2 linked regions of the Rattus norvegicus genome follow. Each later gene encodes a partner of the first gene's protein in a complex. Links are inferred from orthologs where the notes say so. Each region holds a gene or a part of one and is shown in the gene's direction. Other genes may lie near its edges.

The links.
Region 2: the proteins of Gba1 (region 1) and Scarb2 are in contact, whole or in part, in a cryo-EM structure (PDB 9FJF), measured with the Homo sapiens proteins. The link is inferred for Rattus norvegicus from reciprocal best matches to the Homo sapiens genes GBA1 and SCARB2. Residues at the interface, in NP_000148.2 of Homo sapiens: Leu130, Asn131, Ala134, Ile169, Glu190, Lys194, Leu195, Pro430, Arg434, Ile445, Thr446, Asp448; in NP_005497.1 of Homo sapiens: Lys161, Ala162, Tyr163, Gln164, Lys181, Glu183, Leu187, Phe191, Arg192.

What each region holds. Positions count from the first base shown.
Region 1 is NC_086020.1:176,905,563-176,910,074, forward strand, and holds the start of Gba1 (lysosomal acid glucosylceramidase precursor), read left to right. Parts: upstream 1-1,639; 5' UTR 1,640-1,768; intron 1,769-2,130; 5' UTR 2,131-2,145; coding exon 2,146-2,200; intron 2,201-2,575; coding exon 2,576-2,767; intron 2,768-2,855; coding exon 2,856-3,002; intron 3,003-3,091; exon of another isoform or gene 3,092-3,166; intron 3,167-4,052; coding exon 4,053-4,186; intron 4,187-4,396; coding exon 4,397-4,512. UniProt on the Homo sapiens protein: Glucosylceramidase that catalyzes, within the lysosomal compartment, the hydrolysis of glucosylceramides/GlcCers (such as beta-D-glucosyl-(1<->1')-N-acylsphing-4-enine) into free ceramides (such as N-acylsphing-4-enine) and glucose.
Region 2 is NC_086032.1:15,876,785-15,880,593, forward strand, and holds part of Scarb2 (lysosome membrane protein 2), read left to right. Parts: intron 1-525; coding exon 526-673; intron 674-2,704; coding exon 2,705-2,893; intron 2,894-3,524; coding exon 3,525-3,616; intron 3,617-3,809.

The sequences.
Region 1 (4,512 bases):
GTCCCACTTCCTGGAAATCAGGAAGTCTTAAAAGGGTGGATACAGACAGCCGTAGTCATACAGTAGTTAAGTTTACTATAACAACCCGGCACTAATCCCTGTGACATAATAGATACTGAAAGGCTGTGAGGCTGCCTAGAACAAGTCAGACGTTTCCTTGAAGGTTTCCCACATAAACACTGGCCTGCTTACTTGCAACAATCGTGTGCAGTTCTATCATAACCACACCTAGTTGCTCTTCATCTCACAATAGCCCTAGGAGGCGGCTTGATCCCTCCTCATGGATAAGGAGCAGGCTTAGAGGAATTGATTTACTGAGTCTTAACATGATAAACAAACAGTACACCGTTGTGAGTTGCCAGGATTCAAATCAATGCATCTCGTAGAAACTATGCTTCAATACTGCCAGAGCAGTAATCAACTTTTTGAAGGTTATGTGATAAAGACTTCAGTGTCGTGATTATAAAAGCCTCATTCAACAAGCATAACGCTCCTGATTCTAATTACATGCTTCACTTGGCTTATCTTGCTAACTCTAGTAATGCCTCTGTGAGGTTGTGCTAGTGTCTGTGTTGGGCAAGTGTGGAAACAGGCTTAGAAACCTGGAATTAGTCAGATCATATGGTATGTGTCACTGCTAATAAATCTTATTTGATGTGATTTACAAAGAAACCTCAAGGACAGCTCTCTTTTTGTGTCCACCAAAGATAGACAGCATTTTCCAGTTTCTTTTTTTTCCCCCCTCCGGAAGCTGAGGAACGAACCCAGGGACCTGTGCTTGCTAGGCAAGTGCTCTACCACTGAGCTAAATTCCCAACCCTCCAGTTTCTTGTCAGGAAAGATGAGTAGCTTTCTAGCCAGCATCCGATGATGACACAAAGGAATGTAGAAAGGGCCAGTGAGGACTGACTACTCCTCCCTCAGGCCTGCTATCCAGAGCGAGACAGACAGCAGCTCCCTGCAGTTCATTGGAACTGCTGCCACCAGCTGTCTGAGAAGGGTCCTTTTTCCTCTCAAGGAGTCCTGTGAGTGCACCTGTCAACATTTCTGTCTGTCTTCATCTGTAACTCTGTAAGTATCTGACTCATGTGTCTCACTAGTCTCTTTAGAGCAAAGATTGTGTATATGTGAGGGTTTGTCGTTTTTCATGATAGGGTTTATCTGTGTAATAACCCTGGTTGTCCTGGAAATTGCTCTGTAGACCAGGCTGGCCTTGAACTCGAAGGGATCCCCCTGCCTCCTCCTCCCAAGTGCCAAATTTAAAGGCATGTGCCACCACTGCCAGGCTGTATGTGGGGTCTTTTAAATTTTGTTTTTATTTTTAAATTATATCTGTGTGACGGTATGTGCATGTGAATACAGTGTCCCTTAGAGGCTAGAAATCCTCTCTGTCTTGGATTTAGGAGCCTCTACTCAGCTGTTCATAAAATCCTTGTTAGAATTCTCTTCCTAAAGCTGTCATCCTTTAAGCCTCCCAAAACCTCACAGGGTATACAATGAATGAACAGCCTGGACGGATCCAGCTGCCCATCACAAATATGGCTTCGATTGCCTCACTTCCAGCATCACGTGACTGGTTTAGTCATCACGTGACTCTGTCCTCCCCTTTAAGCCGGAATTGCTGTGCTAGTCCGGCTCCAATAGATATGGTATCTGTCAATATACTTGTTTTATTTGGTAGATCTTCTAACTCTCCAAGACTCTGAAACTGCTACAATCTTCTTATCCACTGATCCTGAGGAGCTCAAGTTCTCAAGATCTTCCAGAGGTAAGGAAGCAGGGCTACAATTTGCCTGGTCAGTCTTGCTTCTGGAATTCTGCCCATCCAGATTAGGGAATTCAGTGAGTTCAGATTTTATTTTTTTAATTCAGGGCATCATGCTCTTGGAGTAAAGCACGGGTGGAGGGAGGACTGAAGGCTGAAATGGATGTGGGGGAAAGAGTGAAGAGAGCCCTCTTTGGAGTGGGCAACCGAGTAAAAGCAAGACCCCTCCAGTGTCTAAGGACATTGTCTGGTCACTAATAAAGGTGGGAGCCCATGCTGTAAACATCCACAGGCGGCTAAACTCTGGCCAGGAGAGTGGTCGCAGGATAGAGAGTCTTACATTCATTTCCTCATTTCCTTCTCAGAAGCGTCCTGGTGTCATGGCTGCCAGGTTCATAGGACTCTTCCTATTTCAGGCCATATCTTGGGCATATGGTGAGTCGAGGATGGGGATGGAGGCATGACGGTGTTTCCTTCCCCATAGTCCTCTGGGGCCTTTCACTATGATGGTGGACTTTCAGTAGGGACTCTGTAAGGCCCTTAGAGTGCCTGAGACATCTTTGGGCACAAGGAGTACAGGGGAAGGATTTATTTATTTTTATTTATTTTTATTTTTTTATTTTTATTTTTTCGGAGCTGGGGACCAAACCCAGGGCCTTGTGCTTGCTAGGCAAGCGCTCTACCACTGAGCTAAATCCCCGTCCCCTTATTTTTTTTTTTTTTAATTGTTGTTCAGACTCCTTAACTAGCATGCTCAGTCCCCCATAAACCTACTTTGATGCTTGCCTGTGCTTGTGCCCTGCTTTCTAGGTGCCCAACCCTGCATCCCCAAAAGTTTTGGCTACAGCTCAGTGGTCTGTGTCTGCAATGCAACGTACTGTGACTCTCTTGACCCCCTGACCTTACCGGCTCTGGGTACCTTCAGCCGTTATGAGAGTACTCGAAGCGGACGTCGGATGGAGCTGAGTACCGGGTCCATCCAGGCCAACCGCACTGGCACAGGTAGCCCCTTTATCTGCCCCTCCAAACCTGGACCCCAAAGTCACAGTAGTGATAGTGATCTGGACTGATTTCCCCCTTCTTCTTCCAGGGCTCCTACTAACCTTGCAGCCAGAAGAGAAGTTCCAGAAAGTGAAAGGATTTGGAGGTGCCATGACAGATGCCACTGCGCTCAACATCCTTGCCTTGTCCCCCCCGGCTCAGAAACTGCTACTCAAGTCCTACTTCTCTAGCGAAGGTGAGAAAGGGCGGAGCAGGATGGCACACTGTAATGTATGCCCTTCTTTATAGCCTGGCTTTATTTCAGTTTTTTTTTTTTTTTCTTTTTTTCGGAGCTGGGGATCGAACCCAGGGCCTTGTGCTTGTTAGGCAAGCGCTCTACCACTGAGCTAAATCCCCAACCCCTCAGTTTTTTTTTTTTTTAAATTACATTTTATTATCTGTTGTATGTGCTGTGCATGAGTGAGGAGGTCAGAGGACAATTTGCAGGTGTCCTCTGTCTCCTTCCACCATTTGGATCATGATTCAGGTCTTGCAGGCTTGGCAGGAAAAACTCTTACCCTACCCACTGAGCTGTCTTGCCAGGCTTTTTGCTCTCGCTTCCATATTTCCCCCTGACATTTGCCTCCCTTCCTTTTCTTCTCCCCTCTCCTCTCAGTCCCTCTTTGAGTGAGTCTCATGTATTCAAGACTCAAATCTACTGCAGTCAGTGATATCAGACTTTGAACTTCTGACCCTCCGGCGTCACGTTTCCCGAATGCTGGAGTTCCCCTGTTTTATACAGTGTTGGAGCGCAGACTCAGGCTTCATGCACCCCTGGCAAGCATTCAGCCCCCTGAACTACATCCCCAGCCTGCCTCTGTTTTCCCCTCTTTCTCTTTGTCCCCTTCCTCCCTTACTTTCTGTAGATCAGGCTTCCCTCGAATACTGTGTAGCCATGACTAGCCTTGGACTCTTAGTTTTCTAAGGGCTGGGATTACAAGCAGATGCCACCAAGTGTACCTGACTCAGTGCCACTGATTCTCCACAATTCCACACCTAGACCCTGGCTCTGAATGAGACTCTGTGGAGGACAACTGATTCAAGCCAGTTTTCATACTCGCCTTATTTTATTTTATTTTATTTATTATGAGACAGGGCCTTGCCTTGTAGCCCCGGTTGGCTTGCTCACATTGATCCGGCTGCCTCAGCCTCTGGAGGGATGGGATTCCAGGCGTGGTGCCACCACGCTCGCTTCATACTCTCCTATTGATTCAGACCTCCCTATCTGGGCCATCCTTTCCTGCAGGCATTGAGTATAACATCATCCGGGTACCCATGGCCAGTTGTGACTTCTCCATCCGCATCTACACCTATGCTGACACCCCTAATGACTTCCAGTTATCCAACTTCAGCCTCCCGGAGGAAGACACCAAGCTCAAGGTGGGCATTCCAGTTGCTTCAGCCCTGTTGGTATTGCTGTCTTGGGGCTGGGAAGGTCCAGGTTAGAGCTGTCTAGAGCAATGTGGAACCTTCTACAGCCTATCTGACTTGGGGGTAAGAGGGTGGGGGCTGATGGTTGGACCTGATACACTGGTTGAACTAGTATGTGTTCCAGCTCTGGGTGTCTCTCTCTTGACTGTTTGTCTCCAGATACCCCTGATTCACCGAGCCCTGAAGATGTCCCCACGCCCCATTTCACTCTTTGCCAGTCCCTGGACATCACCCACTTGGCTCAAGACCAATGGAGCAGTGAATGGGAAAGGGTC
Region 2 (3,809 bases), on another chromosome or scaffold:
TCCCATTACAGATGGTTGTGAGTGAGCCACCATGTGGTTGCTGGGAATTGAACTCAGGGCCTCAGAAAGAGCAGTAAGTGCTCTTAACCGCTGAGCCATCTCTCCAGTCCCAGCCTCAATTTTTAAAATAAATTTATAACTGAATTGCAGTTGGAATCAGAGGGCACCAGCATGCGGATTGAAACCAAATCGAACCTGTGAACTGAATTGAAAACATTTCAGGACCAAGTTATAATTGAGGAAACAGCTCATTTGTCTGTCTATTTGTCTGTTTGACTACTGTGCCTTCCTGATACTGGAAGAAAAAAAACTGGAAGTTATAGATTTTGATGTTTTCCTGGGTCTCATCCCCTTCATCATCTTGGCTCTAAGTTGTTGTGTTTTTGCGGCTATCAGCGCCTATGTAAATAATCGCTTTATTAGAAGTGTTACATTGAAAAAATGTAACTTTTGTACTGAGCTGAGGGAATGGCTTTGTTTGTTAAACTGCTATCCGTTTTCAAATACGTTTGTCTGTTTGTTTAGGGAGCTCAGGAACAAGGCAAACGTTCAGTTTGGAGAAAATGGAACAACCATATCTGCCGTCACCAATAAGGCATATATTTTTGAACGAAACCAGTCTGTTGGAGACCCTACCGTTGACTTGATTAGAACAATAAATATTCCTCTGTTGGTAAGTCTCATTGTCATTAGCATTATTGGTTGTGGAAGGAAAACGGCGAGTCTGACAGATTTAAGGGCTATTATTTTATGATAATAAAATAAGAGCTATACAATTTAAGAGCTGTTTTATGATAAAATATAGATATTATTGGGGGAGGGGGGTTCATCTTGCAGGGGGGGTCCCTGAATTTAATCTCTGTACCATCAGAAAGCAAACACAAAATACAGATGCACAAAGACTTTGGGGTGTGTGTGTGTGTGTGTGTGTGTGTGTGTGTGTGTGTGTATGTGTGTCCCTCCTGGCCTCCAGCTTGGCATTGATACTTCTTCGTCTGCTTAATGCTTGAATCAGAGCCATGCTGTAGTAGGAGCAGTGTATGTACTTTTACTAAGTGTATGCCTTCCCCGTCTAAGTAGATAGATAGAGACTTTTTTCTGAGGTCTGTAGAATAAGGTCATTTCAAAAGTCATCAAAGACTGGGATTTCCCCCTGCCCCTTTGTGATCAGGATTAGCATTTATGCAAATAAGGGATGACTTTTTTTAAGTATCTAGAAATTTCAAACCTATTCATTCCTTTGTTTTGTCTTAGAAACCTACTAGAATTTTCATGTCACTTCTTAGATTTTTATTTTAAGTTCAAAAAATTTAAGACACACGATTGACACTTCCCTCCCCCATTCAGACCTTTGATTAGAGTGTACTGTGTTTTTCTTTGGTCTCCCAATTATGATGACAATTCCACCTTATAACACCTGTGTTATACCTACGCCATACTGAGACCCACAGGCATTCTTTCTTGAAACTGGACCTCTTGTAGCCCAGGTTAGACTGCCACCTTTGTCTGTTGTTTAATGTGGTGATAGGGATCAAATTCAGAGCTTCCTGCATTGTAGCATCGGAGGATGGGGCTGCTTTACCCGATGAGCTGAATCCCTAGCCCTCCCAGGAACTTTATCACCTATGCCATCCTCTTCTGAGGTCTCCACTCTAAAGTGACTGCTGCTTAACACTGATGGAAGACCCAGGACCTTCCAATCTGAAACTGAATCTTGCCTTGCCTTGCCTTGCCTTGTAAGAGTTTAAAGGGCCAGCTGCCACTTTGCTCCAGGGGGGGAATGGAGCCACCTTGTGGCCATGGTCTCTATAAGATCTCTGGGACATTGGCACCATTCAGAGCCTGCTAAAGGGGAGTTTAAATTCACATCTACGAGATGTAATATGAGCCTGCCCTGGAGGTCCAGGCCTGTGATCCCAGCTACTTTCTATAGCAAAAACTGGAAGATCAAAATTCCAGATTGGGGGATGGAGAGATGGCTCAGTGGTTAAGAGCACTGACTGCTCTTCCAGAGGTCTTGAGTTCAAATCCCAGTAACCACATGGTGGCTCACAACCATCAGTAATGATATCTGATGCCGTCTTCTGGTGTGTCTGAAGACAGCTACAGTGTACTCAAATAGAATCAATAAATAAATCTTTAAAAAAAGAAAAAATTGGGGCTGGGGATTTAGCTCAGTGGTAGAGCGCTTCCCTAGGAAGCGCAAGGCCCTGGGTTCGGTCCCCAGCTCCGAAAAAAAAGAACCAAGAAGAAAGAGAAAGAAAAAAAAAAGAAAGAAAAAATTTCAGACTGGGCTCCCGAGTGAGTTCAAGGTTAGCCTGGGCAACTTAGTGAGACTTGGTGTCTCAAAATTTACAAAATGTGTCCTGGGGCTTAGGGCTTAGGATAGAGATCAGTGGTAGTATTTGTCTATTATGTGTAAGGCCACAAAGTCTAGACAGAGAGAGAGAGAGAGAGAGAGAGAGAGAGAGAGAGAGAGAGTAATTTGAGCAAGGGCAGTATCTGAACTCTTATTCCACACAAAGACTGGAAGGTCACTGGTTGAATTTACTGTTTAGTCTCAAACATTTATAGCTCAGCTTCTGGCCTCTTCTACTGAGGGGCAGGAAGAGAGCCAAGTGGGTGTTTTTTGGTTTTTGGTTTTTTTGGCGGGGGGGGGGGGAGGGGGCGGACGGACACTGGTTAACCTGCCTCTACTCTGCAGACTGTTGTGGAAATGGCCCAGCAGCCCTTCCTCAGGGAGATCATCGAGGCCATGCTGAAAGCTTATCAGCAGACGCTGTTTGTCACTCACACTGTACATGAACTGCTCTGGGGCTACAAAGATGAGGTCTTGTCGCTCGTCCATATTTTCAGACCTGACGTCTCCCCTAACTTTGGCCTGTTCTATGAGGTAAGTTTCCTTCCTAGAACCTATCTTTAGCATACTGGGCCACACGGGGAAGAGGGCACACAAGCCAGAGTGCATCTTAAGTCTGGCTTTCTTCCAGGCGAAGACCAAACTTGCCTGGAGTTCTAAATATTTTACAAAGTCTGTGAAAAAAATAAGGCTTTGGAGGGGGAGGGAAAGAAACTGTCATAAAATAACTAGCTGGTGACGGATAAAACTAACCTCGGGAGTGAGTGAAACACTGAGGTAGGGTGAGGAAATATGCTCATAGTCTGGCCTGTGCCTGTCCGAGGTCTCCCGCATGATGCCATGACGCCATGATGCCATGACGCCATAGCATCTTACTTCCTCTCTGACCCAGGGCAAGCCTTAAAAGTTTACAAAATTTAAGAGGTTGTTCAGACACAATTATAAACAAGTTTTAAATGTTTGTTACTTCTGTGAGAGAATGGGTCCTGAAAGTTGAGTCTTGCCAACATTGTTTCATTCTAGGAGAGCAGCCTGAATGCATGGTCCTTAGAATGTCTTGGCTAACGAAGGGAGGGTGGGGGGGGCTCAGCTGGCAGGAAAGTTAATTTAAAGTAGCACAGCATTTTTGGTCATTTTTAAAATTGTGATGCTTGCTTCTTTCCAGAGAAATGGAACTAATGATGGGGAGTATGTTTTTCTGACTGGAGAGGACAATTACCTGAACTTTACAAAAATTGTGGAGTGGAATGGAAAAACGTAAGTCCTGTAAGAGTTCCTAGTGTAAGGTTTTTCAAGTTTTCATTTAAACAAAATGTGCCTCTTTTTTTCCTTCCTAATTTAATACTGGGGCTGTTGCTTACTGGCAGAGCGCCTGTCTACCATACACAACACTCTGGATTTGATCCTAGCCATGGAAAATAAGTTAGCATTTGGCTTTTGTATAAAAACT